4 linked regions of the Drosophila melanogaster genome follow. The protein of the gene in region 4 interacts with the protein of the main gene of each other region in a pairwise test. Each region holds a gene or a part of one and is shown on either strand. Other genes may lie near its edges. The genes, in order: trsn, CG4622, mRpL51 and Ibf2.

Region 1 (7,853 bases), on a different chromosome or scaffold from region 4:
CACACACGAGAAATTCCCACTGGGGATGCTTCGGATCCCCCTTCTTATAAAGCGACTTGATCGGTTGGACGCCGAGCGTTGACTGAATCGACTGTGAGCACAACGGGTTCGCTAGGGTCTTAAAAGCACTCGGAGCGGAGCGCCGAGACGGAGATACTACGAGTATAGCCCACAGTCGATTGTGCTTTTGGTATGGTACATTGTATGGTAGAGTTTGGTATTGTATGATATAGTATGGTATAGTATGGTATTGGTATGGATGCGTCACCAGTCGAGAGGCTCGTCGAAAAGTGGAGTGTGTGGTGGGGGGTGTGTGCCCGTGTGGAGTGTATTGACCGGCGATATTCCGGGAATTCGCTCTCTTCAGATCGATTGGGCCTTATCTTGTGGCGAAATGGATATGTGATTGGGTCCAATAAACACCTACAAGTGTGTATATAAGATGGGTGTACTCATCGTTTGAGGGGTATGCGCAGTTAGCCTCGATAATGCGTTTTTTAAAATTCAACTTTTTCGACGTGGCTAGACAAATTTCTAAGAATCTAGGTCGCCTATCAGTCGGCTTATCAAGATTCGAAAGATATATATTACAATTATGTAAAGTCGTTTATATTTCTTGTCAAAACTAAGGTGGAGAGCCTATGAACACATATACTATAATATACTTAGCATTCTAGTTTGCCTCGCTCAATACATAATGACAATAAACAGGGGTAACAATTCACTTAGATTTCACTTAGTATTTTAAATCTACATACACAGCTGTAAGTTGATAAGATTCCTTTCAAGTCTAAAGGGCATGATAAAATAAGATTGTATTTGGTGCTTATCCCATATATCTTTCGCTGTGCTATAAAAAAAAAAACAAAACATAAATAACTCATATTCGAGATTGCAGACGGCGCGATTTGGTAATATCAGAGTTCATATCATAAAGATTAGGCTTTAAAATTCGGCAAGTGGACTCTGACCTCTGCGCAGATGGCACTTTATCGGCATGCGGTTTAGGTAAGCAACTTGAGATCTGAAGATGGGCTCTCCACACCTGTTCTTATCGCTGTTACATCACTATGGTTAGCCAGCTTACTTGATAAACCAGCTGAAAAACAAGTCTTAAATATATGTATGTACATATGTACGATCTGATTCTATAACCGAAAACGGGCCAATGAGGTGGCGGGGATAAGCAACAATTGAGGGAGGCGATAAAACCTATCGCTCACTATTTATTGTTGAAAGTCCAATAATCGCAGTGGCGGGGGGCCTGTGAGAACTCCAGTGGTACGCAATTTCGGTGGTCTGATAAGGATTGCTCGAGCACGCGGTTCCGATAAGAGGTGATTGCTGTCAGAATAACCTAGTGCAATCGGTGACGCGTTGGAAGTGTCTACCTGGCATAAATGTCGTCTGCTTATCGCACGACCGGGATCTTCGTAACCCCCCCCCCCCCCCCATCGAAAGTGTGCCCAGATTGGAGAATTTCGATTTAAAATAACCACTGCGATGAAAACGAAATGGTGCTGCTGGTGCTGGTATTTGTATCTTGGGTTTGGACTTTGAACCGTAGCAAACTTGAAATGTGCGGCGACTGCGAACGACAGAGGCAGCCAGCCACGCATGTCTAACGAGAGCGGTACGATCGAGGTATTGGTGGCTCTGGAGGGTCGGGTTCCGAGGGGCAGCACAAAGGCGCTGGGAACCAGTTGCGCTGGGACCCCTTGCAAATCATTCACAGCTGCCGCGGCCAGCGCAACGAAAATTGATAAAGCGAGCGGGGTATCTTTGAGATACTCGACTACAAGATATCCACTATTACATGGATTCACATGAGTTATTGAACTAAAAGTGCTGTGAACATTTCTGAAGTACTGCGACACTTAAAAACGTAACACACTATTGGTTGAGTGTGGTCGTTAAAAGCGGTCATAACAAGGTATACCTAATATTTTTATTTGACAACCATATTCAATGCAGGTTAATAGTTCTATAAACGTGTAATTACCATGCGAAATAAACAAGCAAACTTACTAAAATGATTTTGTCTCAAGACATACCCACTACTAATTGAATACTTACAGTAGACGATACTCAAAAAAATATGACTTTGAGGAATACAACTAATATTAGGGCGTATTTTAAAATTTTTCAATTTTTTTTAAATCTTTTTCGATACTAAAATATATTCTATATATTATTTTTTGTTTTTTGATGTATTGAAAATACACATACCCTGCAAGTCTTTAATTGCCGGGTATGCAAGCAAAACACTCAATGAAGGAGGTCCATAGCTAATGGTTTCGCTACTTTCCATAACAGTTAGCACTCGGATTCTGGGTTTATTATATTGACTTTTTGTTGTTGGTTTGCGGCTGGGCTTTTCCTTGGCATTTTCCCTTCGAAATGAGAATGCAAGAAAGTTGGAATGGGGGTAGGAAGAAAGAGAGACGCAGAGAGCAACACCTGCCCGTCAGTGTGTGGGTGTCTGTTGTGGTTTTGCTTTTCAGATGTTTACGTCGAAAGCTCTCTCAGTATTTCTCGCTCTCCTCCCACTCAGTGCGTTGTAAGAAGAGGGGAAAGAGCAACAAGGAGAGAGCGTGCCCCGTTAAGCCTCTCAGGAAACTTGTTTCGGACTTTGAACCGCTTCGATTAAAGCGTGTTTTGAAAAACACCAAACAACAACTATGTCTGCGGAACGAAATAAAAAAATTAAAACAAACAAACAACAACAAGGCAACTGCAGACTCAACTAAAGTTTTGTAATAAAAACAGTGCTATTTGTTTAGTGACCATTTCGGGCAACAAGTTTTTACCAGATTTGTGACCCAATTATTGCCAAACAGGTTGGAGTCTCTCAGTTTTTAGCTTTTTTTTCGGGCCGGGGACGGAAAAGGGGGCGTGGTCAAGAGAGCGGGTGAGTTTCTGGGCCAACGGACTTTTCACACGGCCAACTGCCCGCCAGACTTACTTTCTTGAAATGGTAACCAATTGCAGTCTCCACTTTCAAATCAAAATGCTAGAAAGGGCGAAACAATAAAGAGCGCACAAAGCGGGAAAAAACAATAAGAACAACACGGGAAGGACGACGGACGACGAAGCAGCAAACAAGAAAATGCAAAGACGCGCGCGCAATGTTAACGTTGTAAGCGTTGCGGTGGCAAAAGAGAGACTGAAACTGCGCCTGAGAAGCAGAAGCAAAGGCGAAACGGAAGCAGCGGCCAAAGAAGAGCAGCAACAAATCCACCATATGATCGGGGCAACAACAACAACTGCGGCCCAGTGGTGGTGGCTAAACAAGTTTCAAAAGGGTTAAGCCATCAAACTTCTGCACTTGTCTCTATGTATACTTAGTTATGATTTAATCAAAACGCGCACAGCCATTTTAATTACCTTTAAGTTGCACAAACTTATGTTTTTTTGTTATGGTTCAAAGCACTATTTCGCTTCTGTGTAAACTGATCATTAAAATAAGATGGTGCCTATTAAGATGTAAAGAAATGTGTTCTGAAAAAAAACAAAAACACATTTCAGATTTTTAACACAGGATTACATACATATATCCTGCTACATTTGATTCCTACGAGCATTCCTGATTTAAATAGTAAAATAAAATGATACTCTGTTTAATGAATGTAATATATTTGCTTGTTTAAATGAAACTTTTTCATTTTAATAAACGCCTTATCCTACGTACGAAGTAAACTATTCGGTTGCAGGAACAGCCGGCTCCTCCTGCTGGTCCTTTTCCTTGCTGGACAGACCGCGTATGCTGACATCGTAGACGACCTCCTCGATCTTCTTGACATCATACTTTAAGGCATCGAAGCGCTTTCGCAAGCCATCGTTCTTCAGGTTCAGCAGACGGAAGCCCGTGTTCAGGTCACCAATAAAATGGGAGATATTCAGGGGACGCTCGTAGTCGCCCATGGTGACGGAATTGGTAGCGAATCGGGAGAGCTCCGACGCCAACTGCAGTATGCCCAGTAGATAGTCCTCCACATCCAGATGGAAGCCCTCAGACTGGCTGATCTTCACTGTGGAGTAATTAACTATTATTTCGTATCCAGAGAGCCTTCCAAATCTAGCTTACATCCCAGCATTTCGGCCACTGTTTCGCGGGTGACCAAGAAGCCCGCCTCCAGGTAAATAACCAAGGCAATGATGAAGATCAAACGCTGCGTAATGAAGGTCCAGTGATCGGAGTATCTGGAGAAGGCGGAGCATTCGACACCCACAATAGACACCACGGATTTCACCATCTGACTCACCTGTAGTACTGCCCAGCTGGCACCAGTTCGGCCAATTTCTGGTACTTTTGGGCACACAGCTCAACCTGTTTGCGGGCTAAGCCGCAGGCGGCACTAACTATTGTTCAAGTATAATGTCATATTAGAACAAAACATACAAGCTACCAAATTGTACAGAACTTACTCTGGCTCAAATCGCTATGAATAATCTGCAGTTTAATCTGCGCTTCCTTTGACAAATGCTCGATTTCGCGCACCACAATGCGGATGTTCTAAAAACAATGGTTTAAGATGGTGGTTTTTAGGATATTAACCGTCAACTCACCTCCCTGACTTCCTGTTCATTGTCTATGTACTTTTGGTAGTTGGAGAAGATGTCCAAGTTCACGAAGTTCGACATTTTTGCTTAATGTTTTGCTGCTTTTGTTAGTTGTTTATACCGGCGATAGGGATGGGAGTATAGCCAAGCAATAAGTCTAGCAATGCTATCGATATGTCACATTGTTATCGCTTGCCCAAACCAGTGTTGGTGAACGCCCTTCTTGTCATCTGTAGTTTCATTAAAATTGTTTTGTCCCTCAAGTTCCAATTAGAATCGAACTAGGCTCGTGACAAAATGTCTTATGTGAGTGTGTTTATGCTTAAGAAAGTGGATTAAATGTACTTACTACCGTTTATCCACAGGGACAAGGCTATAACCCGTATGCCCAGCCCGGTGGTGGCTATGCCCCGCCGCCAGGAGCATTTCCGCCGCAGAATGCCCAGGTGTCTCCGCAGGCACAGCAATGGTTCTCCATGGTGGACCGCGACCGATCTGGAAAGATAAACGCTTCCGAGTTGCAGGCGGCCCTGGTGAATGGGCGTGGCGATCACTTCTCGGATAATGCCTGCAAGCTGATGATAAGTAAGCTTAAGCCCTGCCCAAAAAAGATCCCAAAGTTTCCTCTACAGGAACTGTGACGTCAGTAGGTGAACACTAACAAACGTGTATACACTGTATACTATACAGTAGACCCTCTAAAAGACGATCATAAGCTAAACTAGTTTGGTAGGCAATATAGTAACACAAGAACACAAGAACAGGTTGTCGATTTGAATCTTCTATGCGTAGCCTAGCACACCCGCTGTATGCCAAGAACCAATGAAGGGCACATGGGCACATATATTTAGATCATCCTGTGAGCTGATGATAGCTAAGTAAGCTTCAGTTATGAAATACTTTAAAATTCCTTCGATTCCCCTTCCGGAAACTGTGACGTCAGTACTCCCCTAACAGACAGTCAGTATCAATTTAGTTATACTTTCGGCTATAAATGTTTCACTGTATTTATTGCCCCAATTTAGGGTACATGCATATTTGTTTAGATCACCTGGAGCGCCAGACACTTTTCCGTTTGTTTACCCTGCGATTTATGTTGTATTTTTATCGCCTTTTTTAATTTACTCAACAGGCATGTTCGACAACGACGCCAGTGGTACCATCGATATCTATGAGTTCGAGAAGCTCTACAACTACATCAACCAATGGCTGGTAAGGTATTTCTTATATCGAAACTAAGTAGTCTGACTCATTGTATCACTGTTGCAGCAAGTCTTCAAGACCTACGATCAGGACTCCTCTGGACATATCGAGGAACAGGAGCTGACCCAAGGTAAGCTAACACAACAACTGAATCTCCAATTCCTTTATGGCCTTTTACACTAATTACCAAACTTGTTGGCAGCCTTCACCCAGATGGGCTTTCGATTCTCGCCCGAATTCATAAACTTCCTGGTGAAGAAGAGCGACCCCCAGGGCCACAAAGAGGTGTCCGTGGATCAGTTCATAGTGCTCTGCGTGCAGGTGCAGCGTTTCACGGAGGCCTTCAGGCAGCGCGACACCCAGCAGAATGGAACCATCACCATTGGGTTCGAGGACTTCCTCACCGTGGCCATTGGCTGCTCGTATTGAAAGAATGATTCAATGCAACCGCTCCATGGGAATGCATCTCCACAGTCTTGCACACACACACACACACACTACAGCCAACAGTGGATGATCATAAATTTCGCGACTGGTGCATTTTTCTTAAATTTTCAACGGTGTTAGCTTTTTAATATGTAAATGAATCACTCCACAGTCATATTGCAATCTCCTGGTATCAGAATCAAATTTCAAAAGTATTTGTTAACGCAGTTCGACTCAATAATCATAGTACAAAGTCTCTTGCGCCTAATAATAAACTATACACACGTATTTTTAAAAATTAAAAGATATCTGCGTTTTATTTAAAATGTAAACATTGTATATGAAAAGTTCATTATAAAATCATGTCTTATTTTAGCAGTCACACTGCCCACAGTTCGTAATCGTGTCTTCGTCGATCGGTGAAGACCACGTGATATGCAGTTAGGAATTATAATCTTATTAAGTATACAATCATAAAATATCGGGCGATTCAATGTGACGGCACACAAGCTTAATGGTAAGATACAAACATTAATATCAGTTAAAACATTTAGGCATAATAAGTGTTTGGTTTTTGGTTTGGGAATCGTACAATGTTCCAATTTTTTTGTTTTTTTTTTGGTCATGGGTTAATAATTTTTAAGATACAATAAACTCAGTCTTAAAGTCCATAAATATATGAAACGAATGTCTTCAGGGCGAGGAATAGTTGGTTTTCAATTGGTTAATTAATGGTTTGTTCAGTTGTCAGTTCAATGCAATTCTCTTAACTAATTCAGTCATAATGTATATCATTGTAAATGGCATCGATTGAGCTTATCGAGTAGTTACCAAAAGTTTTGGTCTTAGTAGCTTAATCAAGCCAAGTCAAGAGATCGTTGGATGGCAGAGGGTTTCTGGGCAAGATGCTGGGAACTTTTTGGAAATACGCACACGGCGAGGCGAACCCTTTCTAAATACTTTTTTTCTGGACAACATCGTGATATCTTAAATAGTAGAGACCTTAGAAAATATTTGAGTGTTGTTTGATAATATTTTGCACACTTAATCGTAAGTATAAAATTGACATTTGGTGAATGATCATTTTATACAATTTAAGAGATATTAACTGATGCTTTAACGCATAAATGCATCGTTAGAAAAAAGGCTTTAAGACTAATTTGATTATATGCTTGATTAGATTGGCTTGCATTTGCTTACATTACATAAATTACTACAAGTAAACATTAAATATTTGGGATGACACATGAATGACAAGAAATAAATTTCCACAAATCCAATGGACAAAACAAGACACCAGACGTAAAATATATTGTATATCAAATGGAAGCATCACTCGGTCCCCGTACAAATTTATTTGGTTTCAAGCTCTCCCTTCCCATTGAAGTCGATGATCAGCTTGCCCTGCGAGTCATCGGACATGGAGCCGCTCATCCCGTTTTCGCGATTCATCGAGTACTTCGATCTCCTCTTGCTGGGCAGCTGGGGCAGATCGGTGTGGTGCTTCCTCACATGGACACCGAGATTGCCGCGCTGTTTCGACTTGTAGGGGCAGTAGGGACACTGATGCGATGGCTCCTTGCCGCCACACTCGACATTCTCGTGGCGCCGGAGTGTGGACTTCCAGCGATACTTCTTGCCGCAGTGACGGCACTCGTATA
Region 2 (9,648 bases), on a different chromosome or scaffold from region 4:
GGGCCAAACTAGTTTAGTAATGGCGATTAGATATTCCATCGGCGTGCCAGGACAAGTGCCGCTCTCCACTGATTTTTTCTTAACGGCTTTTGCTGTCTTGGCCGCGTGTTAAGCATGCACATCACGTATACGCCTGGGTGTTCCACTCGCGCTCTCAACGCTGCGATCTCTCGGATACAGATACTCGAGCGCTAGCCAGATACAGATACCTTTTCGCCAGACTCGCTGTCGTCGGCTGTGCCCGGCTGTGTGCGTGAGTATCTGTGTGGGCCGCCTGATAAGCCAAGCGGTAGTAGCCGAAGTAGTCAGCCCCAACAGCCAACAGATCGCGCGCGGTCTTCAGTTTTGTTTTGGAGCTGCCAACAAAAGTTGATTGCTCGCGCGTCGCTCCCGTTTCGTGTTCCACCCTTTATTTCGCTTTGGCTCCACGGTTGGAGTATCTCGTGCTGTTTGACGACTCGCTTGTGTCATCGCTGTCCAAACACCGCGATTGTTTGCCCCAGTCTTAAGAAAAACGCGCGGCAAGCGGGCCAAGTGCGCCAAGTGCGGCCAATTGCCTTTTGGCAGACGCCGAGATCTGTTGCGAAACGGATCGGCCATTCGCCATTAACCTCAATAATATCAATTGGATATCCACACACTTATTCAGATCACTTGGCTCCGATCTCTGAGCCATGCCCTCCTCATCCCGCGCCGGTCGGCCCGCGGACGGAAGCCATAGAATCGCTGCAATGGCAGCATTCACTGTGAGTGGGGAGAACGTAAAGTTGCGCGAAGGGGAAATCGTTTTGGAAAAGAAGGGATTTTGGGGGTGCAACGCAAAGTTTTTTAAACTTATTTCCTCAAATTTAGATAGTTGAATAACATCAATAAACTAATAATCTGGTAATATTTCTGGTAAATGCATAATCATGGAAAGGCAAGATACGCGTATTGTTTTTCTTTTTCTATCTAAGCTAAGTGAAATAGCAGTCATGTGATGCAGCGAAGATTTATTTGGATGACGTGCGATTTGTGTCTGCGGAAGATTTAGGAAGCGTTTTCTTCAGTGCACACTGGCTTCAACCGGCCACCAAGACGCGGTCTCGGTTTTCCACTGCGCCTTTCCTGTTTCGCAGATTCGGTGCAGATTTCATGAATACATGAATATTAATCGAATACAAACATCATGCAAATTGGGCCCGGGACTGGGACTCCTGCATGTCCATCGAATTAGCAGCAGCAGCGCTTGGAGATCCGCGCAGACACAGCACCGATGTGCCAGCCAGTTCAGCATGCGTACATATACGAGTGCTCAGATGTAGTGGCTGGTACCAAGCAGTCTCGTCATGAGTGTTTAGTTTATACACGCTCCTCGGCGTTCTTCTGCCGCCAGTGGTGTTGTTTTTGCGTGTCCAAGCACTTTTTAGTTGCGCCGTAAAAAATAGCGAGGGGCCTGTGTTTCATGTTTGGGCTCTCGGCTCCGCCATGCTTGCGTAGCCAAGCGTTAAGACTCACAGTGGAGGCACCAGTGGCACTAGTGCAGATGGAGGTGGTGGTGCCACACATCCCAGTCGGGCATATCTGGCGGGGAATGCACAGCTTTGTAGGCAACTTTATAATCCACATAATGCATGGGGATTTCGACGATAACACTTCCAACATACCGCGGCGATTTTACGGGGAACTGATAAGAGCGCCTTTTCTATTAATAGCTCGTTTCCCATTGTGGATGGAAATCCGCCCAAAGGGGTCGACCTTGAAATGCGGCTTAGCACGCATACACGTACCTCATAATATCACATAATAAACTCAAGAATCGCAGTGTGCCCTTTCGCTATAAACCATATAGACCATATGCCGCGCCATCCGAATTCCGCAGCGGCCACAATAATTATAAACTATTGCGCAAAAAGAAGGCATCGTCCGTCTGTCCGTCATAATTGGCATAATTATTTTTGGCTCATGACTTCATTCAATGTCGCCTGGCAGCAGCGCGACAGTAAAACATCGGCGAAAACAGCAATCAAATCTCAGTTGAATGGTGTACAATCAAGCGGCAATCAACAACAGCATTAGCGAGATGCCAATTGGGAATCGAGGGGCGTGCGTGCGCCCCGCTCCAATGAATCAGGGGTGTATATAGCGTATATAGCATATGGAGCACACGGACACATAGATAGTCAAATAATGGGATGGCTTGTACGAGTATGTGCGACGCGCTTGCGACTCGAATTGAAATTGATGCAAAGCGCCGGCCGACAAATAAAATCAATTGGCAGCTAATCAAAGTGAAATGCAAACAAATTGCCAGCACATGTCGCCGGATCGGAGGAGCAGCTATATGAGCAGCACTTCAGATCGGAGATCGATCAAATATGACGCCGTTCATTGGCTCCTTCCTGCGACGATGACGCCATTCGATCGATCGGCCCAGTCGCCCCGGATCATCCATTCAACCGCTCCTCCAACTTTCCCTCGCCTTCTTCTGCGATACTGAAGCCCCTTTTCGCGGTCCATGTTACATTATCTTCAACGCGGTTCGCATATCAATTATGGCACTCACGCCGGCAAAGAGCGTTAAAAATAGCCGCCTGCAGCGACGATGATGCCATAAATCGTGCAACTCGAAGCCAATTATCACCAGATGCTCAGCCCACAGCCAGCAGCCAAATCCAAATCCGAATCCGAATCCGAATCCATCGGGGAAATCGAGCCGAGCTGAGTCGCCGTACGCAAGCTGTTGCACTTTGCACTGAAACGTCGTCGGGATCTCTGACTAAACGAGTGCTACATGTGCATTGAGTGCAAAGGGTTCCCCACCCGACCACAACTTGCACTCTTTGTGCCCACCACTCGCAGGTAGGGATAGTAGGGTTCATTTGTCTGGAGCTTATTCTACCTTCCAGCAAGTTGAAGTCATAATGTTACAATAGTTGGCGATAGTACAGCGAGCAATTGACTATGACGACAGATGGATGTATTACTCTTGATTTATATATACTTTCGACACTAAGTACTAAACAATGACGACCGATGGCCTGGGATGAGTTATTTATATTCACTACAAAAATATGTGATTGCTTAAAAACATTTGTTTTGTCACACGAGACCGCAGTAATTAAGTATGACGACACATGAGCGAGCCCTTGATATCATCAACCAAAAATATATCAAATAAAGACCCCTTGGTGGAGCATACTTTTAAGCGAGAAGCCTCACTTATCGCGAATAGTATTCATAGTATTCATATAAATATATGAATATTTCGGCGACCGACTGATGAACTTTCTCAGAATTCCGATTCCAATTGGCAGTCCCCCCAAATGCCCCATTCCCCTTCCCATACCCATTTCCATTTCGGTGTTTTCCCATCTCGCGGCCATAAATCTGCGAAAAAATGTGCTCAACTTAATTGAAGACATCAGCACGGCAATAAAAAATCAATTTGCGCAGATCCTCAGAGTCGTTCGCTAAAACAATACGAGTATATTCGTTAGCGATTATATGTGTTTAAATCATTATCGGCACAAATTCGCTTTCATGTTGCTGATACTCTCGAAATTGCTCTCGAAATAGCCGACGTCGTCGTGTCTGCCTGGTTTTCATTCAGCATTTCAATTTTTCACCCGGGGTCGAAGGAATTTCACACATGTTCACACAAACGGCCAATTGGCACAGCGCGCAGTGGAAAAATTTGCGAAAAGCGCGCTGTTAATCAAATTATTCAATAGTTCGGAATGCCACAAATGCGAGTGCATAGATATATATATATATATATTCATATATATATCGCTGTCATCGCTGTAATTCCCGGCGGGCGCGCAAATTGATAAAATATGCAAAGTAAACAAATGCCCATGTTTTGGGGGCCCGTCCGCGTCTGCGTCCGTTCGCAAATTGGCTCTCCTTTGAGCCGCCAAAGACGAGGGCGGGGCGGGGCGGACTTACATCATAAATTAAGCCCGCCGACAGATGGCAAATAATGCAATAAACATTGAAATCGCCGGTGCTATTTATAGAGCGCTCCTGCGATAAGATCGTCTGCGGCACCGACTGCAACTGTTGCCACTATTGCAATTGCACCTTTGGGTGGAGAATGGCATGGGCATGGACATGGGGATGGGGATGGGGGCCCTATTTTTAGCCAGTCGGTAGACGGCTGTCGGACGAGGTCTATTTATAGGGTCTCCGCCGTCCTCCTGCCCATCCGCGATGCGGATCGAGCAGCAGATCGATGCCACCTGGGCGAGAGCTGCCCTTGCCCCTGTCCTTTGGCGGCGGCGTGGAGCTGGGCCGACATCGTGCTGGGTTGGCCCACATCTGCTTGGCCAGAGAGGTGGTCCGGGCAGTTAATTAATCTGATCGCACCTATAAATAGGCATCTATTCTTAACCGTGTTTCCGGTTTCCCACACTTTTGCAGATGTGTTCCCGCAACATAAAGATCTCGGTGGTGCTGTTTCTTGTCCTGATACCAATCTTCGCCGCCTTGCCACACAACCACAATCTGTCGAAGCGCAGCAACTTCTTCGACCTGGAGTGCAAGGGCATCTTCAACAAGACCATGTTCTTCCGACTGGACCGCATCTGCGAGGACTGCTACCAGTTGTTCCGCGAGACGAGTATACACCGATTATGCAAGTAAGTTTCCCTAGGGTCCCACAGCCCCAGCCATACGTACACATACATACATACAAATATCTAACAAAACCACAAAGCAGCATCAGTGTTCCTTACAGCGTTCAAGGCAAGGCCGTCCAAGAAACACTAATTATGATCTTAAGTGCTGGCAGACCCTGACACAAATACAATTGTCGGGGTATCGGAAAATGATCGCGGGACCTTCGGTTGTTTCTGAACTTTATGGGCCCGCTTTCCCCGCTACTTTCTCCTCGACTTTCTCGCACAGAGACCGCTGCCTATTTGGTTTCTTCCATTTGGTCTATATCTCTCTCTCTCTCTTTTTGTTTCACCCTATAGTCACTTAAATATTGTAGTAATAAGTTTATCACCTTTTCGTTTGACTTCCCTCTGTGCGAGTCCTACATCTGTGTTTCTTGTCTATTCGATGCAGGGCCAATTGTTTCGTCCACGAGACCTTCGGGGATTGCCTAAAGGTGCTGCTGATCGACGATGAAGAGATATCGCAGCTGCAGCACTATCTGAAAGTGATCAACGGATCACCCTATCCGTTTCACAAGCCCATCTACCACTAGACTCCTAACTTCGACCACTTTCGTTTCCACTTCCGTTTCCGCTTTCGTTTCCGCAACGACTTCATTTTCCTGATTTCTTACTGCCTTCAGTTACCTTTACCGTTGTGTTTCATTTTGATTTTCGTTTTCAATTTTAGGAAAGACTGCTTTGATTCAAAATGGTTTGGCGAATGCCTGAAAGTGCTGTTAATACCCGAAGAGGAAATATCCAACCTACAGCACTTTCTGAGAGTAGTGAACGGCTCGCCCATATCCTTCAACATGGGGCCGCAAACATAACTCTAAGTCCCCGCCCCACACACCCACAGCCCCAACACACCATACACCATACAGCACACAACAAACAACACACACCACACACAGCTGAGAATCGGTGCGAATATCGTGGGTTGGAACGAGCATCCGCATCCAGATATAGATCCAGATCCAGATCGAGAAACAGTCCCACTACGACCACACATGCAGAGCCAGAACACAGAAATCTAAAATATTAAAACGCCCAAATTTAATTCGTACTTATTTATTACTGTATGCCTTACAGTTTTTACTATATGTGTTTTTTTAAAAACGAATTATTTTTATTAATTTATTGAGAACGTTATGCGTTTGTTGTAAGTAACATAATTGGGGAGTGGGAGATGGGCGATGATGATGATCAGATGATGATGATGATGATGTGCAGGAGGAGGATCGCAGATCTCGCACTCCCCACATATACATAGAAGCCGAAGTATTTATTTTTAAGTATTCTTAGCTTGTTTTATTATTATTGCGTTATGCGGTTTGTATATAAAATAAACAAAACGAAATCCATTGTTTTTAATCTATGTAATGTAAAATGATAACTTTTATTTTTGTATCTGTATTCTACTGTAAAATCAGCATTTAGAGTTTACATTTTACACGATTTTCCGCAAGGGCAAAACTACAATGATAAAGATAAACCCATACGAACACACACATACACACATACACACATACACACACACTCACACACACACATATATACACCGCAATCGAGACCGAAAGTATTTTGCAAATGTATTACACTTACAATTTTGTGCTATTTTGTAAAGATGAAACCCTGAATTAGTGTAAATCTGTTGGCGCAAAACGGAGATATGTATTTACCTATATAGTATATAGTATATGCATACCTATCTAAAGCTAAAGCCTTACATATATCCGAATACGAGTACCCTACACACATGCTAAATATTAGAGAGAAACGCAAGATCGCAATTTGTGCAAGACACAAACAAAAACCTGGTAAAAACACGCGAAGAACGGAACGACTGCATTACAAATGTGGCAATAAATAATACATAATTAATAAAACCCTGTAAATTAATAAAGGATAATCAATCATTCGCTGGCTATTTGAGAGCATCAAAATTGTGATAAATGAGAATTAGAATGCGAATGCGCGACGCAGGACACCGCCAGAGAAAGAGACCGCCATACAGAAGGCGACAGAGACAGACAGACTGCAGCTGGCGATTTGCGCGCGTTTCTGGCGCGACTAAAAACGCCTGCTTACCGTTTTTGTTTTGGTACGTTATAATTTTCTTTTGTTTTTAATTAATTATTTGATTTTTGACCTTGTGCATTCTTGGCTTTTAACTAGCACTCAAGCTAAAAATTTGACCAACTATGCTTTACTTTTTGTTAAATTCCTCAATAATCCTCGAACTGTTGAGCTCGTATTTTTTGAGCAAACAAACAGAACAAGATTTTGAGAACAATAATTTTTGTGATATATTCAACCATACCTGAATATGGCTTTTGAACTTTGGCTCTTTTTTCTTCTGAGCAAGCTATACACCAAATTAAAAAAAATCAGGTTTCCTAATTCCTCCTCCTCCTTTTGTTTTTGAACACAGGCAAGAATGCTTCGGATCGCCCTTCTTCAACGCCTGCATAGAGGCTCTTCAGCTGCACGAGGAGATGGACAAGTATAACGAATGGCGCGATACCCTGGGTCGCAAGTAAAGTGCGATTCTCTGGGATTTTCTGGCACCGTCACTGGCACGAGCAGCTACTTAATTCTATGAACTATTAACTAAAACTATTATTATTGATAACTGTGGCAGAACACGGCACGAAACTATGGCAACCAGGAAACGATCGACCCGAGGAATGTGTACCACTTGAAGAAACAACTAAGCTAACATCTAGCTACAAGAGAAAGCAGAGCAAAAATGTTGAAAAAAAAATTATGAAGACAATTACTAAACTATTACACGCTACTTATCCGCACTTATATCGGAAAGTCTAAATTGGTCTATATGTTATTTCTATCATCTGTCATGAAACAGTCTCGTGGAGCTTTTAGTTGTAGTGAATTACGTAAATTATGCTTATTTCTTTTAGTTCTTCGCGCAGAAGGAAAGCAAAAAGTTATGCCAAGAATCAAATATGAGAAGAAACAAACAAAAAAAAAACAAGCAAACAAAAAAACGAACGAACAAACGAACAAGAATCAAAATGTCTGATGTATATAACTATTTTTGTCTTCTTTTAAAGATTTCTATACATATTTATAACGCCTAACTGATTTGTACATTTCTTTTATTTCGTAAGCTTAAGTTAATTTGTTACGGCAATAAATTTTACGTTCCACACCTTCCCACACATGCTCTCCTGCAATAGAACGGAAATCACATCTGAGCAACACCACACGGCATAATTCGATTCGATTCTATGTAGTATTGCAATGCCTTACAATTACATAACTTTTAATTAATTTAAACTTGTTTGGATCTAGTCGTAAAATATAAATAAAGATTGTATATTTCAAGAGGAATCGACAGCGAATTTGATTGCGGTGCAAAACTTTATTCAACGTACGATAATATTTCAGTATTAATAATTCACAAGTGCAAGCATTTTCGATTCGATTGGACTACAGATAGATCATGGATCTTGTGATGGAATCAGCCCAGGAGAACATCTCACTTGAGATGAATGAAATGCCAAGTGTCGACTGCAATTACAAAGGACGTAAATTGGTATAAAAAGGGTTTATTTCAGGATAACATTCAGTATAAAGTATATGTACAACGATTAACGAACGCAAGCAAGCCAATTACATAAATTGGGTTTCAGCAGTATTTACAGCATGGAGTAATCTCAATTTAGCTTGCTAACTGGACAATTAAAGTAGCTATTAGTAAGCGTGCAGGTTGTGTTTGTGTAACCAATTTGTTTGCAAGTTACTGGTGGTTAAAGCGTGTGTTGGAGTAGTGTGTTTTTGGTTGGGATCGGGTGAAGCAGCTATAAGTTCGATCTAATATAGTGAACCTTACCTGTATCAGACACCTCCTCGACCTGGCCGCCATCGGGGGCCTCGGCCAGTATCTTCTCGGCCTCCTCCTTGGGAATGACGTGCTCCGAGTTGCGGTTGGTGATGTTGGTGCTGCGAAACGGACGTACTTAGGATTAATTGTAAATGTATAAAATGGCATTTAACCCACGTGGAGATGGACCCGGATGCGGGGCTCTGGTGCACCAAGTTCTGCCAGAACTTGTGGGTCTCGGCAATGATGGTGTTGGCAAAGTCCGCATTCTTGGCATCGCCGTTGAAAGCAAACTGATTCTCAGGCTTGCCATCGGGGATCTTGTAGATCTGCGAAATGCAAAGGGTAAGAGAGGGAATCGTCCGAAAATCGAATTCCACCCACCTTGAACCACTCAACGGTGGCACGAAGCAGACCCGGGAAGTACTGGTCCACATCGGCGATATCATTGACTTTCGAGGCCAACGGATCGTTCACATCGATGGCGATTATCTTCCAGTCGGTTTCGCCCTCGTCAATCAAGGCAATGGTGCCCAGCACCTTGACCTTCAGCACGTCGCCGCGCTTAGCCACTCGGTAGCCAATCTCGATGACATCGATGGGATCGTTGTCACCCTTGCAGCCGGTGGAGGGCTCGATGTGGTCGGGGTTTTCCCAGGTCTGGGGCAGGGCTCCGTAGTTCCAGATGTAGCCCTTGTGCGGGAAGCAGTTGGCCACGAACCGCAGCTTACCCTTCTTGATGTCCTGCTTGATGGGATTCATAGGGGTCTTCAAGCTAATCTAAGGGTCAGACATGCAATTTTTGTATTATTCAGAAGTATGAATCTTAGGGACAGGCAGACCGACCTCCATTTTCGCGTTGGTCCAACGTGGCACCTCCACCACCATGTTGTAGATAGTTTTCTCCTCGTTGGCGTACAGTGGAATGTCGTGCATCGGCGAGATGACATTGCCGCACTTGTTTTCTGTGGAGAATGGCCAGAAATTATTATGCCTGATATATGGGCGACACCTGGACACGCGATTTGATTAATAGTGACCGGGGACCTGTCGGCTAGACAAAGGTCACTAATTTGCGTGCCAGTAAACCGAAATTCAGCCACCAGTTTCGATATCTGCTATTCGGAATATGGGCTAATAAAGGAAAGAGAT
Region 3 (7,702 bases), on a different chromosome or scaffold from region 4:
GAATGCTCTGTCAGTTCCTCATTCATGTCAAAGAAGTCCGCATAGTTGACATTCCCCTCCTCATCGTCCTCCTCATCTTCGCCAAGACCAAAATCCTCTGCGAAATGATCTATATCATCGGCCTGCTCAACGCGTTTCTTGCTGTTCAGGCGGCGCATCTCCTTGGCATCCTCCTGCTCCAGGAACTCATTCATCTCTTCCAACTTGAAGAAGGTATCGTCCACCACAGAGTTGCGTAGTCGCTTGTTTCGTTTGTCTTTCGGCGGCGCGGTCTTCTGCTTTTGTAGCCCTCCATCCTCGTCGCTGAAGTCTGATTCCTCATCTTGTTCCTCATCGCCTGAGTCTTCAGCTTGTATTACTTCGTCTTCTTCCTCTATTTCTTCACCATCGTCCAGTTCAATGCCCAGGTGCTGCTCGCGCATCGCCGTCAGCCTGGCGGTTTGCTCCAGCACCTGTTGGAACACTAGTTCGTTGCGAATCTCCAGTTGCTGCCAGATCTGCTCCTCGTCCATTTGCTCCAGCACCAATTCCGGCAGCAGTTCCTTCTTGTTCGCCACATCCTCGCTGATGCTAACGGCGTATGTCTGCTGGATAAGCTGCTCGATGGCATTCACTTGTTCCGGCTGTGGCCTGAAATATAAATTGTTTTGACTACGTTTGAAAAAACACGTGCGCGGTCTTTGGAAGGAAAACAAACTGGAGAAAACGCTCTGGATTCTTGGTCAGCTGCTCGAAGTTCTCTGCGATTTCCTTGAAGACATTCGCCTCCTTGGATTTTTTACTTCCAATCATTTTTACTACTGCTTTCTGTGCTTAATTAAATGAAATATATATTCCAACAATTCGAGCGCAAGAGCGGGTCCAAAAACAACAACCAGTTGGTGAGAGATGGAACAGATACATAGAGATGAGCGCGTGATACAAGTACAAGTTTTTCCAAGCTTAAAAACTTTATGCGAGTTGGAATCCTGTTTTGAGCCAAAATTTGTTATTCCAAAAATAATAAATATATTTAACTTGAAGAAAACAAAGCTCTAAAAAAAATCATAATTGCTTACACAGTAGACCAGAAGCCGTATATCGTGACAAGGAAATCGATAATTTATCGAAGGCCTTTGCCACCACCAAGCCAGCTGTAGGCGGCTTTTTACAGGCGGAGTCCGTTCACAAAAACTATGCCCAACTAGAAGATGGATTCGAAGTTCTTTAAACTGCTCCTGCTGGGCGGCGCCGTGCGCTTCTACTTCTGTCGCACGCCGCTGGCTCCGATGATTGGCAACCGAGTGGAGTTCGCGACACCTTTAAATTCACACAAGCGCAGTAAGTAAACAAAGTAGACATCAAATAGATGAACAAGTCTGAATGGAGTTATTCTTGCAGTGCAAGAGGGGATATTTCTTCTACAGAGTGGCATTGATCCCTATCTGGGCGACCTGGTACACGAATCGCCGCTGATACTCAGCGCGCTCTCCGGATTGTTTCAAAAATACCCGCAGTTTCTGCCGATATTCTACATAATCCTGGATATCTGCACGGCGGCCCTGCTTTATGCGATGAGTCTGAGATTCGTCAAGCAAAAGCAGGATCAGCAGGACAAGGAGCGAAAGGAGTATGCCAAGGATACGGAAGAGCTGCAGTTTGGCCCGCTGGACAAGCTTGACATTCCGGAACTTGTGATCGTGGCATATCTTTTCAGTCCACTGACTGTTATGAGCTGCATTGGAATGACCTCCACCGTGATAAGCAATCTGTTCCTGGCTTTCTTTTTCTACTGCCTCGTGAAGGGAATGCTCATTCCATGCCTTCTAGTCCTCGCGTTCGAAACTGTCCGCAGCTTCTATCCCATTGTACTTATAGCACCACTGCTCCTGGTCTTTTCACGGAATTCGGTCAGGAGGGGTGTGGCTATAGCGGCGCTCTTTATCGTCAGTTGTCTAATCGTGGCAGTTGCGAACTATTTTGTGCTGAACAGCTGGAACTTCCTGGATGGAACGTTGGGTTTTATGTAAGCAAGAACTATCTTATTAGTTATCTGTTTGTATTTTTACGTATTTAACTATCTTACAGATTTTATTTCCGCGATCTACAGCCAAATATCGGTCTCTTCTGGTACTTTTTTACTGAAATGTTTGAGCACTTCCGCACCATGTTCCTAATCACATTCCAATTGAATGCCACCGTATTATACCTGGTGCCACTAAGTATTAAGCTGCGCAAGGAGCCCCTACTGCTAGCCACGGTATTGGTGGCCCTTATGGCCGTTTTTAGGGCGTATCCCAGCCTGGGCGATGTCGGCTTTTATCTGGCCTTGCTTCCGCTGTGGAAAAGATGTTGGAAATGTAAGTTATCTGGCTCACGTAGTTATTTCAACTGCTAAGCACTTTGGTAATTTCTTTCAGTCATGGCCCATGGCTTTGTGGTCTTTACGTTCTTCCTGGTCACTCTATCTATGATGGGAGCCCTTTGGCATTTGTGGATCTATGCAGGATCGGCAAATGCCAATTTCTATTTCGGTGCCACTCTTGCGTTTTCCACTGGGCAGATATTTCTAATCACCGATCTGCTGTTCGCGCACGTTAAACGTGAGTTCTGCTTGTTCAATGGTCAGAAGATTCTGATCGATGGCGAGGAAGCGAGGATAGTCTTAAAGTAAGCATTAACAGTATCAGTATGACGGACAGAATCCAGGAACTTTGTACAGATGCAGAATGCGCTTCCTAATGGCAGCCGAGCATACTCTTAAGATAAGTTAACTCCGAACAATATCAGATTAAACAAAATATTTTATTTGATTGTAATGGTTTTTTACTGATGTGAATAGCCCGTCTTCGTCTTGCGGTTGAGGAACTTGTACAAGTAGAGGATGCGTTTCTCCATTTCCCGCCACTTGGTGGGTCGGGCGATGGGATACTTGGACTTCTCGAGCAGCTTACGTTTGCGGAGAAGCACCTGGTACTCATTGCCGGAGACGCCACGCAGCCAGGATGGCAGGGAGTAGAGCACCTTGACTGGATGCAGACGATCGTTGCCCAGGATGTCGATGTAGTCGTTCTGGCCAAACAACGCACGTTTCTTTGACCAGGCGTTCTTTGGGCGATACACCGGCATCGGCAGTTTCTGTCCATTGTCCACATGGGGGAGTAGTCCGCTCTTGAAGATCTTGTCCTCATATCCATAGCGCCGCACAGTGGGACCGCGTGCTCGTCGCTCGGCATGGGATAACTGCCGCACGGTGTAGCTGGTTGATGCCATCGGAGCCAAGGGTTTTCCGCCCACAGCAAGGAGCGTGGCTCTGCCAAGTTTTTGAATCATACTTCCCAGCCAAGACATGGCTATGTTTTAATTAACGATTAGATAATTGTAAACAGTGCCTGGAAATGGGTGAAAAAACACGAACAGAACATCTGTTTTTGCTGGCAAGCCGGCAGTGTTGGAAAATGTAGTGATTTGTTGTAGCTAATTAGTACAAGGAATATGAGAATACAAATTGGTAGCTACGGTAAAAAGTATCCGAAATTTTATATATGTGTCACTTCATAAATTTGGGGTGTAAAACAATTTTTTATAGGTATTGCTCTGTGTACAAGTAATCGAATCAGTGGGCAATCGAAAGTGCCGGTAAGTGTAATCGACATTCATCAGCTGATTGCAGTCAGAGGCATTTGTTTGAAATTGTTTATTGGACATTCATCCCCAGCAGCACAATGATGGAATCCGAGGTAGATTCTGAGCGAACCATGCTAAAGCGCGAGATCGCCGAGCTGCGCGCAGCGCTCAACCAGAAGGAGCAGTGTCTGCGAGAATTGGATTCCTTGTTTTCCTTCGCCACAAGGCCAGAGCAGGAGGTCGTCGGAAATGATCTGGAATCGCCTGATGTTGCAGTCCACACGAAGTTGACCAACGACGATATTGCGCGTTACAGCCGCCAGCTTATACTGCCCGACTTCGGCGTCCAGGGACAATTAAAGCTGAAAAACAGCTCTGTCCTGATTGTGGGCCTAGGCGGATTGGGATGTCCGGCGGCGCAATACTTGGCGGCAGCCGGATGCGGACACTTGGGGCTTGTCGACTACGACGAGGTGGAGCGGAGCAACTTTCACCGCCAGATTCTGCACTCCGAGGACCGTTGTGGTATGTCCAAGGCTGAATCGGCGAGGATAGCACTGCTCGAACTGAATCCGCACTGCGAGATTCAGTGCCATTCCAGGATGCTGTACCCTCATAACGCCATGCACATCATCCGAGGCTACGACGTGGTTTTGGACTGCACCGATAATGTGCCCACCCGTTATCTACTCAGCGATGCCTGCGTCATGCTGAGCAAACCCCTTGTCTCCGGGAGTGCCCTAAAGATGGATGGTCAGCTGACTGTATACAACTATGCCAACGGGCCCTGCTACAGGTGTATCTTCCCAGTTCCTCCACCGCCAGAAGCAGTCACCAATTGCGGAGATGGCGGAGTCCTGGGTGCTGTCACCGGTACAATTGGCGCAATGCAGGCTCTGGAGGCCATCAAGGTGATTGTGGGAATGGGAGATGTCCTCGCCGGACGCCTTCTAATCTTCGATGGCGGTAGCGGCGTGTTTCGCAATATTCGCATACGCAGCAAGCGACCCAACTGCCATATGTGTTCCGCTCAGCCGCTGATCACGGAGCTAATCAACTACGAAATGTTCTGCGGTATGCATGCAACCGACAAGAACAATCCCATGCTACTTTTGTCGACGGATGAGCGTTTGTCCGTGGAGGACTACCAACAGAAGATCCAGGCTCAACCACATTTGCTTATCGATGTGCGGCCAACTGCAGAATTCGAGATTTGCCAGCTGCCCGAGGCTGTGAATGTGCCACTGGTAGAGATCCTCGACGACAGCTATCTTAAGCGGCTTGGCAAGCAATTGGAGGACAAGGAACTGCCCATCGTACTGGTCTGCCGTCGGGGTAATGATTCGCAGATCGCCGTTCAGCATTTGCGCAACCGATTCCCCACGCATTTCGTTCGAGACCTGATTGGCGGACTGCATGCCTGGACGAACAGTGTAGACCCCAGTTTTCCCATATACTAATCCGACAAAACATATACGTTCCACTATATATGTAGATTTATTCATTGTTTCTCCTGCAATGCATTGGTTTTTTGGTTTTTTTTACCTAAGCTCTTACGTATGTCTTGTTATCATAAATACCAGGCTGGTGTAATAAAATGAATAATTCAATTCTGTCTTCTTTCGTTGAATATATTGATAAATTTAATGGAATCATATGTCTTCCGGGCTCTAATGGGTGCCTATAAAAATGGAAAAGTACGGACACAAATGCTTTGCATATCCTTAGATACATGTCTTCGTACGGGTAAAACTATGAATATGAAGTCTATAATTATTGGTGCAGGGATAACAAAATTAACTATTTTTAAAACGGCTTAAACTCCTTGTAGGACCCATAATACATAATGCTATCATAAGACTACTTCGGAAAATCAGGAAGTCAGATTAAACTTTTTCTATATGTCCTTTTAATTCAATTCCATTCAAGAAAACTAACCTTTACAATATGCTTTCGAACTGATCGGTTCCACCAGTTTTCCACCTTCGTATTTGAATTAAGTAATCAAATACAAAATGGATTGAATAATTGTAGACCATTGGTGGACACAAAAAGATCATTAGCATTCGATTATAAATGGAATAAATAGTGAAAGCACTGCTCATTGGTGTAGGCGAGCCGACAGAACCAATATCATTTTAATCCAAAATGCAGACAGACATATTGCAATTTTACAAAGACAAATCGGTTTTTGTAACCGGAGGCACAGGATTTCTAGGAAAAGGTAAAGCTATATAAGAAGTTCATATATCTCTAGATAATAAATTCAAAACTAAAATATGTTAAAATTCAAATTTCAGTGATCATTGAAAAGCTCCTCCGTTCAACGGATGTAAGGCGAGTTTATCTATTAGTAAGGCCAAAAAAGAATGAAACGGTGGAAGGACGGTTTCAGGCCTGGAAAGATGAGCCGGTGAGTCCAAGAAGATGATGATAAGGATGTGGGTGCCCATCCTATAGTGACTTCCATATTCGTATGATTTTAATTCGGGTTGAATGCTGATATTTTTCAGGTTTTTAAAATCCTACTCAAGGCTAAACCGGAGGCTCTGAAGTTGGTCACACCCATTTCGGGAGACTGCAGCGAACCCGGTCTGGGTCTCAGCGACGGGGATCGCAGGATGGTGACCGCTGATGTGCAGGTGATCATCCACAGTGCCGCCTCCATTCGCTTCGTGGAGCCGCTTCAAAGGGCTTTGAACATTAATACGCGTGCAACGCGCCTGATGATTCAGCTGGCCAAGGAGATGAAAGGCTTGGAAGCCTTCGTGCACATCTCCACGGCCTTCTCCAACTGCCCCTCGCAGCACATTGAGGAGCGTTTCTATCCGGAGCACCTAACGTGCCCGGCGGCCAAGGTGCTCGAATTCAACGAGACTTTGAGCCCAGATTTGTTGGACAAGATGGCTCCGGCTCTTATGGGAAAGTTTCCGAACACCTATACCTATACCAAGGCACTGGCCGAGCAGGTGATCCAGATGGAGGGTCAGGACCTGCCAATCTGCGTCTTTCGTCCTGCGATAAGTAAGTGATTTAGTGGGCTCAGACAAATAGAAAGAAGAAATCAAAGATTGAGGTCAAATAATTAGTTAACATCATCAACTTTGTGCCTTGCAGTTTTGGCAAATTTCAAGGAGCCGATGTCTGGATGGATTGACAACCTTCACGGAGTCGTAGCCTTGATATACGGCAATACATATGGGATCCTTCGCCTCTTGTATGTCAATCCTAAGGCCGATGCTATAATAGTTCCTGGCGACTATTGTGCCAACGTGGCGCTGGCTTCCGGATGGCAGGTGGCAAAGAATTCCGAATCGCGATCGTCTTCTCAGTTGGCGGCGAAGAAGCCGCCGCCCATTTATACACTCGCCACAACCAAGTCAAATTCCATCACCTTTGGGAAGGCGGTCAAGTTGGGCATCCATCATAACCATACGATTCCGGTGACCAAAACGATTTGGTATCCATTTGCCCACTTTACCACCTGCCCTTGGTTGTTTAAGCTGGGTTGCATATTTTATCATCTGATTCCTGGTTTCTTCTTCGATCTCCTCCTACGTATCCAAGGTAAAAAGCCTATTCTGATGAGGAGCTATCAAAAGATCCACGAAGTACTTTTGCTTCTGTTTCCCTTCAATGGAAAAACGTACGAGATGGATATGAATAATACCAATCAATTATGGGATTCAATGTCGCCGGAGGACAGGAGTATATTTCCCTTTGACATGGCCACTCTTAACTGGGAGGAGTACTTCACTCGCATATTGTCCGGAATGCGGGTGTTCCTTTACAAGGAATCCTGGGACACCTTGGAACAAGCGAAAAAGCGTTTATTCAGGTGCGTAGAATTCAGATTCGATAGTTGCTCTATCTAACATCCATGGCTGTTTCAGGTTTTACATATTGCATCGATCCCTTCAACTTGTACTTTGCCTTGCTCTCGGAAAGATTGTGTGGATCTTGTACAGTGTAATTGCTAATAATTACATTAGGAGCATTGAGGTTACCCTGCCGTCTCCGGTGGCCGATTTTCCAAGTATTTAATCCAATGTGCATATGTACATGCATATATGGCATCCGATTGTTAGGGGTCCTT
Region 4 (7,526 bases):
AATTCGACAGCTACCATTCCCTACTTATCCAGGATCTGCCAAAGCTCTACGATTTGGTGCAGGAATTCCTCCTGAAAAGTGGTGATGCAGGACACGAAGAGGTTGTGCTTTGCAAACACTCAATTCCACGACTACAATCTAGTTAACTTTCAGCTAAGATTCAAGCTCCTCCTGCTGATTTGCGAATTGACAGCTTCGCCTACAATTTACCAACTAAAGGACGACTCTGGTAATCTCCTGAAGTATGCTAATGATTTGGCTAGTAAGCTGTCTTCCCATTGGTGGGAGTCGACGGATGATCAATTCCTGAAATACTACGAGAAGAAACTGCACAGGGATTGCTGGAAGAGACAACTAGGAGCTGTGCATGGTTTCGGCAGATATCTAGAGGTATACACTAACAGACAAATATTTATCCAGATAGTCCAGTTTGTTCACTTACTTTATCCCGCAGCTTCGTTACGGAAAGAAATCCGCAATGTCCACCCAAATGTTGGCTTTTGCACTATCCGTGGGTCTTAATGTGCGCGAATGCTATGATACTATCTACAAGCAACTTGGGGTCAAGATCTTCTCAGTGATGTTAAAATTTAGCGTACGTGTTAGACCACTTTAGCGCCAAGACCTTCAATGAAACACTTCATCCTTCAGGACTCCAAGGACATTCAGGAACTGAACGTGCACAGTGTGATCTATGACCATGCCCTCAAGGATGTCTACAACATGGACTCAATTGAAGCCATCGAATCTGTTTGGAACTGCCTGTATTTCTGTCTTGATCACTTTGTAGATCTAGATGCTTTCACGGTGTGTACCTTGAAACTTACTCTAGTTACTGAACATAAATATGATGGCAACTTTAGTGGAACCAATGCGACGACATGCTGGAACGCCTCATTCAGAACGTGACAATGGCCTCCAGCCCAAAAGTTTTAATCTGCCTGCTGCAGTATATCATCCGATTAGGATACTACTTCACCATCAATCGCAGCGATGTGAAAACTGCTTTGGCCATGGATATATGCGAACCAGATAAATTGGTAGCGTGTCGGGACGTATGCCTTGCTCTAAATGTTAGCACCAGCTATCGTTGGGCCAAGGCCATCCTACAAATGCTTGTCCTGGAGTCGAGCAAGCTGCTCCAAGGTGTCGAGGTATGCACTGCTTTACTGGATCAACTGCTAAGATGCTATCTGGTTTGCATCATGCCTATTCCTCTGCAAGCTTTGCATCCGCACCTGCCGGAGTTTTACGGGAAGTTTGTGGCTGTGTTAATGGAATGTTTGGTGGCCCACGAGAAGGCACCTCCAGTTCTAAAAGTATGTTATTATGTCTATATATATTTCTGGTTACATCTAACAGATCAATTTTTTCCCAGCTCGTTTCGCGGTTCATCGAAGTCTTTAGCTTCCAACTGGAAAACGGGATAACCGAAACAATGCCCGCCCAACTATCAGAATTCAAGGAGGCTCTGTCAATTGTGCACCACAAGATTTGTGAATAAATATGGGGGTCTTTATGTTATATAGCGATCTAGTAAGAAGCGATATACAAACGTTGCCAAAACAGTATGTGGGATAAGGGCCATTAGTGCCGGTTTCCATCCAAAAAAGAAGCCCTTGTAGCCATGTTTTCGGATAATTTTCCGATACAGATATGGATAGGAAGTGCGGCCATAGTGTGAGGATTCGTTTAACGTTAGAGTAGCCAACGCATCCACTGGTGTCATAATGACTGTGATAATACTGCCTGTTAGCGCCATAGTTATGAGATCGCTAAGCCACGGCTCGTCGAGTCTGTGGAACCATGATATCACTGTATGGACCTTATCACTAATAGGAGTATACAGCACGGCCACGGCTGTGCTACTAATCGAGTTTATTTTCCAACCGGTAAATAGGTAAGTAAATCCTCCCTTCGCGTACATACATTTGAGTCCTCTCCAGAAATTTCGATAGCTACAAAAAAGGGTTAACTTTCATAGCTTTGGAAGATTAAACGATACACATATAGATATTTGCTGGTTTCAAAATTAAACCGGAAAATGCCTATTTATGTTTATTCGGCCATATTCTTACTTGCGCCTCTCGTAGGATCCGCGCGTAAGATCAGCTTGCCGAATGACCGCCAGCTTGGCGAACGGTGTTGCCAATACGCCGCCCCAAAATCCGGTTATACCCAGGACCATGCTAGTGTTATACGGCTGCAGCATTAGGACGTACTTGTTATCCTGTAAGTTGTAGAACAACGTGTACGTTGACATCGTGTGAACAGTACAGCGTAGACAAGCAGCCACAATGCCGTAATAAAATCCGGGTAATCCATGACGGGCCATCAGCCGGAACATATGGTTTATGCTTAAACGGCTATGGTGGATTACGTTCGCCTGCATATTCACACGAACTAGCTCCATGGGATGCGACAACAGTTGGGCCGTAGTCTTAATCAGCAGGCCGACGTAGACGGGCATCTTTATAAATTGTTCAATCGAACTCCCCGCATCACTATTATTCATTATCTAAATAAATTTGTATATTCTCAAGAAATTTAAAATGTAGTGTACTTAAAAAGCTTAGGCTACTCGCATTCAGCACGCAGTTTGGCGATCTCCAGCTGTGTCTTTTTCGCCTCCAACAAGGTGACGGTGCGTTTCAGTTCGGATATCTCGTTCATCTTGGTAAAGTACTCGGATTTGACCACCAGATACTCCGTTTCCGCCTTGATCAGATCCTTCTGCAGTCGATTGGCGTCGGATGACGGGATCACCAGTTGATCCAGATCGGTCAAGTAGCTCACCAAGTTGGATTCCTGATTGCGTGCACTGCTATCATCCTCGTCGATCAGTTTGTCCAGTAGAATATTCGAAGTGAAGTCAATTGTGGAGCCGGAAGAGCTCTGTTCTGCCGGAGCGGCGTCCGTAGCCTCCACCTTAATACCGAATTCAGCGGTTAGATCCTCCCGGAACTTGAGACATGACTTCCTGTATCCACATACATACATTTTACGGACTGTACTTGCAAATGAGCGGGAAAAATTATAATACATACCTATGGATAATCAGCCTGTCTATGCTGGTGTTTGATTGGCATTTCCGACAGTGGGTGCACAGCGCTCGGTACTTCTTCGGCTCCCCATCCTTGCCGCCCTTGAACGCGGGTAGAAAGCCCAGTTTCTTCCAAGTTTCATCCTTCGAAAGGCCCGAGGGTCGCTTGGCCTTTTTTGCTTGCGACATTTTTACATACGGTTTGTGTTAAATTACGTGACAGTGTTGCTGCTGTAAATTCAACCGATGTATCGATAACATGCCATCGAATTCTATCGATGGTCGCTTGCATTTGAATATTAATTATATTTTTACTTTTGAATCATCTGTGAAATGACTGAATTGTAAAAAATGACTTTGTCTGGGTCATAAATAACAAATTTTTGAAAAGAATAAGTTTAATATTTAGCTTTGTATATTTAACGATTAATTAATCGGGCAGTAAATAGTACCATGAATGTATCTGAAAATATATGCGTGGAACCTTTAAAAAATAGACTATATTGAAGGGCGTTCATATATTACAAATACATATAAGTAAAATTAAGAAGCAAATCCTTTTAAAAGTTTACTACTTCACCCGTTATATACATATAAAATTATTTCTGATCTTTATTAAATATCGTTTTGACTAAAAGAAACGCATCGAACTGATCAATATCAAAATGGTTTTATCGATATGTCGATACATGTCTATCGTATGCAAGCGTGGATTTTACATGCATCTGTAGTGAAGCCATTTTTATTTGCATCGTGTATAGTACATTGGAATTTACTGCGATTGTTGTATTTTAAAATGCCCCGAAAGAAGTCCGAGGATTTTTACAGAACCCACGGATTTACCGCCAATTTGGAGAATGGCAAATACTCGGCCACCTGTCACTTCTGCGAAAAAGTACTCCAAAATACGGCGCTATCCCGGCTATCGTTACACAGGTAACCATACAAACATACACCAAACATTGTGTTTACATGCGTCAAGTAATTCTCATTAAATTGTAGGCAAACCTGCGATGCCCGGCGAAGTAGAAGCGCTGTAGTGTACACTTCTGCCGACGAGAAGGATCATGACGAGGCTCCTAGGATAAAGGTAATTCGATGCTTCCAATTTGGATACATTGGATGTATGTATATGTCTGGTGTAGGACGTCAGTGGACAAATGCACTTCAAAATAAATCCCAAAGATACTTTGCACACTATAATGTCAACCCCAAGTAATTTGACAAATATTCGGTTCGAACTTTGTCCGAATACAATATATAGTGCTTAATGATTTGACTTTTGAAATTACTAACCCATATCGTCTCATATGAACATTCATATGTAAATTAAATGTTACTTATATATCGCTAATGCTCTAAAATATATTTTTTATGCAGATCCAGAAGATTTCGGGCGACGATGATGGCGGCCTGGATAATGCCAACGAAGGCAAGGAGATCATTGTTAAGGTGAGTAGGTGAAAAATGCGTAAACTAAATCAAATACTTACATTATGGTTATTTTTCATTCCAGATACAACAAATTCTGGACGATGCTGACGAGGCTGAGGCGCCCAAGGAGCAACCCAGAGTGAAACGAGAAATTCGCAAAAGGAAACTGACCAAAACGGAAGAGTCTGGCGAGCAAAATTTGGAATTTGAAATTTCCAACGTTGAAATTAAAAATCCCGAATACTCTGAGTACCTGGACGAAAGCAAAGAAGTAAATATTCACAATTTGATAAGTATCTTAGACATTTTAACGATTATCGAACAGCATTACATATTGCAGCAAAACCCGGATGACTTAGCCAATGGATCGGCGACGATCATCGAGGCCAGGCCAAGAAATGGTTTAGCTGCATTGCGAGCGGAAAAGGCGCGAGCCGAGATCAGTCAGTTCCAGAGTAAGACCAAGTTTCTTAAAACGGAAACGGACAATCTAAAAGTAGAGCGCACACTGACTTTGCTTAAGATTCAGAAGCTTCGATTGGAAATCGACGCCCTACGCGATTAAAATGTATTTTAACTATAGATAACTTTTAAATGTCCGCATGGTGAACCCTTAATTTTTGTTAAGATGACGAAAATGTCTGTCTTGAATTCAACATAGATTTATTACATTTAACTTTGTAAAGGTGATTACAAAATACATTATTTTAAGCCTGATTACTCGAATCTTTTTATTAAATAATAATGTAATAATGCAATGCTTACAAGTGTTATTAAAATCGATGTAATCTAATGCTTACATACATAAATATTACATACATCAAAATTATTGAATAAATAAAAATACATAATAAATAAAACTAGAAATACTAGTACAATCGATAGTTCGCACTCTTCGACAACCCTACTGATACCCATTCGATAACTGACCCCAAGCAACCCTGTTCATCACATGATAGTCAGGGTGATATCGGGGAAGAGAAAAGGTTTTCTTTGCAGTCGTTCGTCATATGATTAAAAGTCCAGCGGAAAACTGAAAATGTTGAGAGTTTTCGTGATTTTCTCGCTGTTTATAGCGGCCAGTAAGTAGATCTACCATCTATAATCAAGTAAAATGCATGCGCAGCAAGTGGAAAGCGGTCACAAAGTGGATATTCTGTACTCATCGATTCCTCTTTGGGGGTGGTGACACCCAGAACTCGGGACTCCAAAGGGCTCCCCACATGCATGCGCAGAATCTTGGACAAAGGAGACGAATATGTTAGATTCTACAGAACTTATGAGCTACGTCTTCCTATTTTGCAGTCAATGCCTCTGGCGAATTCACCGTGCTGAACCGTCCCAAGGCAATCAGTTTCAAGGGCAACGATGCACTGGAAAGCCACTACGTGGGTGATGTACTCTACGCTTCCATGGGCAACGCCGTCAGCGGCGATACCAACTGGAACGGACTGACCATCAACGATCCCTTCAACCTGGCCAAGGGCGTCATTCTGGTGCATGTCCAGGGCATTGGTCACGTGACCACCGCCGGCAACGTCAAGACCTACGAGCTGACAGGCTCCGGAACGGACGCCTCTCTGAACGCCCTGGCCGCCGAACTGGAGGCAGCCAACGAGCCCGTCTGCGATATTAACTTTGAGCAGTTCGACGATGGCGTAAGTGGTGTCTTAAAGGGGAAAAGCACATTTCGTTAGTCAGTTAGCTAATTTGTCAAACCGCAGAAAGCATGATCTTCATCTGAAAGTTCGTTTAAAGAAGCTTCTCTACAATCCGCTATAACTTCCCACAAATATGATAGATAGTTATTAAACCTTAAAAATTAATTAATCACATGATTTATAGAGTGAATCATAGTGCCTTCCCCCTTACGCATATAACGTAGAGACCAATGTATATTTAACCACATATTTTTTATAGGTTCAAGCCTGGAAGTCCTGCTTTGGTGATTTCGAGGCCCCAGCCGCCAAGCCCACCAAGCACCTGAACCCCTCTCTGCACACCGCTGACAAGCAGTTCCTCCAGGAGGTTGGATTCATCAACAGTGCCGCCGATCATCTGGCTGAGATGGCCAAGCCCTCGAATGTCCTGATGCTGCGCGTTTCCGTCGATGGAGTGGCCAAGGCTCATGGCGAGAAGTCCGTGGCCGTGGAGGAGGCCAACAAATTGCTGTCGGCCGCTATCAGCCGCCTGCTTGCTGCCTCCCAGAAGTCCAGCGACTCGGTTCTGTTTGTCCAGACCACGGAGAAGGACGTGGCAGCATCGCGTGCCAAGCGTGATACCATTGCCGCTTCCACCACCAATCCCTACAACCTGGCCGTCTACTACGGCAGCGACTACCCGGTGATCTTCAACATCATCCTGTGGTTCATGGTCGTCTTCGGACTGTCTCTGCTGGCTATCTGCTACGCCATCGCTGCCATGGATCCCGGCAGGGACTCCATCATTTACCGCATGACCTCTACCCGCATCAAGAAGGACAACTAAGGAGGAGCAGGAGGAGTTGAGAAGCGAGAGGAGCAGGAGGAGCGAGAGGAGCTTGCGTTACGCTTTGTTATTTCGTCCCCCTTTTAAGTTGAAATTTGCCAACTTCTACTTCAATCCAACAGCGGATAAATTGTGTGTTTGTGTGTGTGCGGACAGCTGTCGCAGTAGTTGGTTTTATTATCTATAAATAAGTATTAAAAAACTTTTCAGTTTTCAATGCAGTTGCGGGCGTCGCAACAATTCCATAGAAATTTGTTACATTTTCCTGTTTTGTTGTACTTTTTAGGTTTATATATATATACGAATATGCACAACATACTCGCCAAGTCAGTCAGTTCTTCAAACGATTCATCATATGTAAATTATCAAAATGTGAAGTGTTGAAAAGTAAAGTTAAATATATATAGCCTAAAAAGACAAAGTTGCGCCTGGTTTTGTTATCTAGTTTTTGGGGCAAATGATAATTGAAATCATACGTGGTATTCTTGATAATTTATTTAATTATTGCACTTATAAAAAGGTTAACATGATAAACTAATATAAAATGAAAGCTATTTCAATT

What was found.
Region 1: the proteins of Ibf2 (region 4) and trsn interact in a two-hybrid assay, tested with the Drosophila melanogaster proteins (one large-scale study listed by BioGRID).
Region 2: the proteins of Ibf2 (region 4) and CG4622 interact in a two-hybrid assay, tested with the Drosophila melanogaster proteins (one large-scale study listed by BioGRID).
Region 3: the proteins of Ibf2 (region 4) and mRpL51 interact in a two-hybrid assay, tested with the Drosophila melanogaster proteins (one large-scale study listed by BioGRID).

Annotation. Positions count from the first base shown.
Region 1 is NT_033778.4:10,475,395-10,483,247, forward strand, and holds trsn (translin), read right to left. Parts: upstream 4,718-7,853; 5' UTR 4,645-4,717; coding exon 4,570-4,644; intron 4,517-4,569; coding exon 4,429-4,516; intron 4,363-4,428; coding exon 4,266-4,362; intron 4,204-4,265; coding exon 4,088-4,203; intron 4,032-4,087; coding exon 3,700-4,031; 3' UTR 3,617-3,699; downstream 1-3,616. Other genes in the region: Pef (peflin), read left to right, coding at 4,861-4,869, 4,929-5,148, 5,696-5,775, 5,833-5,896, 5,969-6,195.
Region 2 is NT_033778.4:24,550,950-24,560,597, forward strand, and holds the start of CG4622 (uncharacterized protein), read right to left. Parts: upstream 5,335-9,648; 5' UTR 5,198-5,334; coding exon of another isoform or gene 5,056-5,197; 5' UTR 4,994-5,055; intron 4,623-4,993; coding exon of another isoform or gene 4,405-4,622; intron 1-4,404. Other genes in the region: ITP (Ion transport peptide), read left to right, coding at 4,405-4,622, 5,056-5,197; Nurf-38 (nucleosome remodeling factor - 38kD), read right to left, coding at 8,152-8,183, 8,506-8,615, 8,674-8,825, 8,881-9,276, 9,343-9,461. UniProt on the Drosophila melanogaster protein: Scaffolding subunit of the trimeric nuclear exosome targeting (NEXT) complex, a complex that directs a subset of non-coding short-lived RNAs for exosomal degradation. The RNA exosome is fundamental for the degradation of RNA in eukaryotic nuclei.
Region 3 is NT_033779.5:8,513,963-8,521,664, forward strand, and holds mRpL51 (mitochondrial ribosomal protein L51), read right to left. Parts: upstream 3,419-7,702; 5' UTR 3,331-3,418; coding exon 2,806-3,330; 3' UTR 2,791-2,805; downstream 1-2,790. Other genes in the region: CG13097 (uncharacterized protein), read right to left, coding at 1-630, 698-792; PIG-U (phosphatidylinositol glycan anchor biosynthesis class U), read left to right, coding at 1,191-1,320, 1,381-2,005, 2,068-2,339, 2,400-2,653; Uba4 (Ubiquitin-like activating enzyme 4), read left to right, coding at 3,705-5,066; Sgp (sgroppino), read left to right, coding at 5,755-5,830, 5,907-6,019, 6,120-6,630, 6,724-7,444, 7,500-7,650.
Region 4 is NT_033777.3:9,255,209-9,262,734, forward strand, and holds Ibf2 (insulator binding factor 2), read right to left. Parts: upstream 3,294-7,526; 5' UTR 3,233-3,293; coding exon 3,048-3,232; intron 2,981-3,047; coding exon 2,578-2,980; 3' UTR 2,519-2,577; downstream 1-2,518. Other genes in the region: CG16734 (uncharacterized protein), read left to right, coding at 1-101, 154-390, 455-595, 652-807, 864-1,319, 1,379-1,504; CG16736 (uncharacterized protein), read right to left, coding at 1,517-1,958, 2,079-2,470; Ibf1 (insulator binding factor 1), read left to right, coding at 3,840-3,979, 4,046-4,133, 4,424-4,495, 4,560-4,748, 4,803-5,042; ATP6AP2 (ATPase H+ transporting accessory protein 2), read left to right, coding at 5,517-5,559, 5,783-6,135, 6,398-6,964.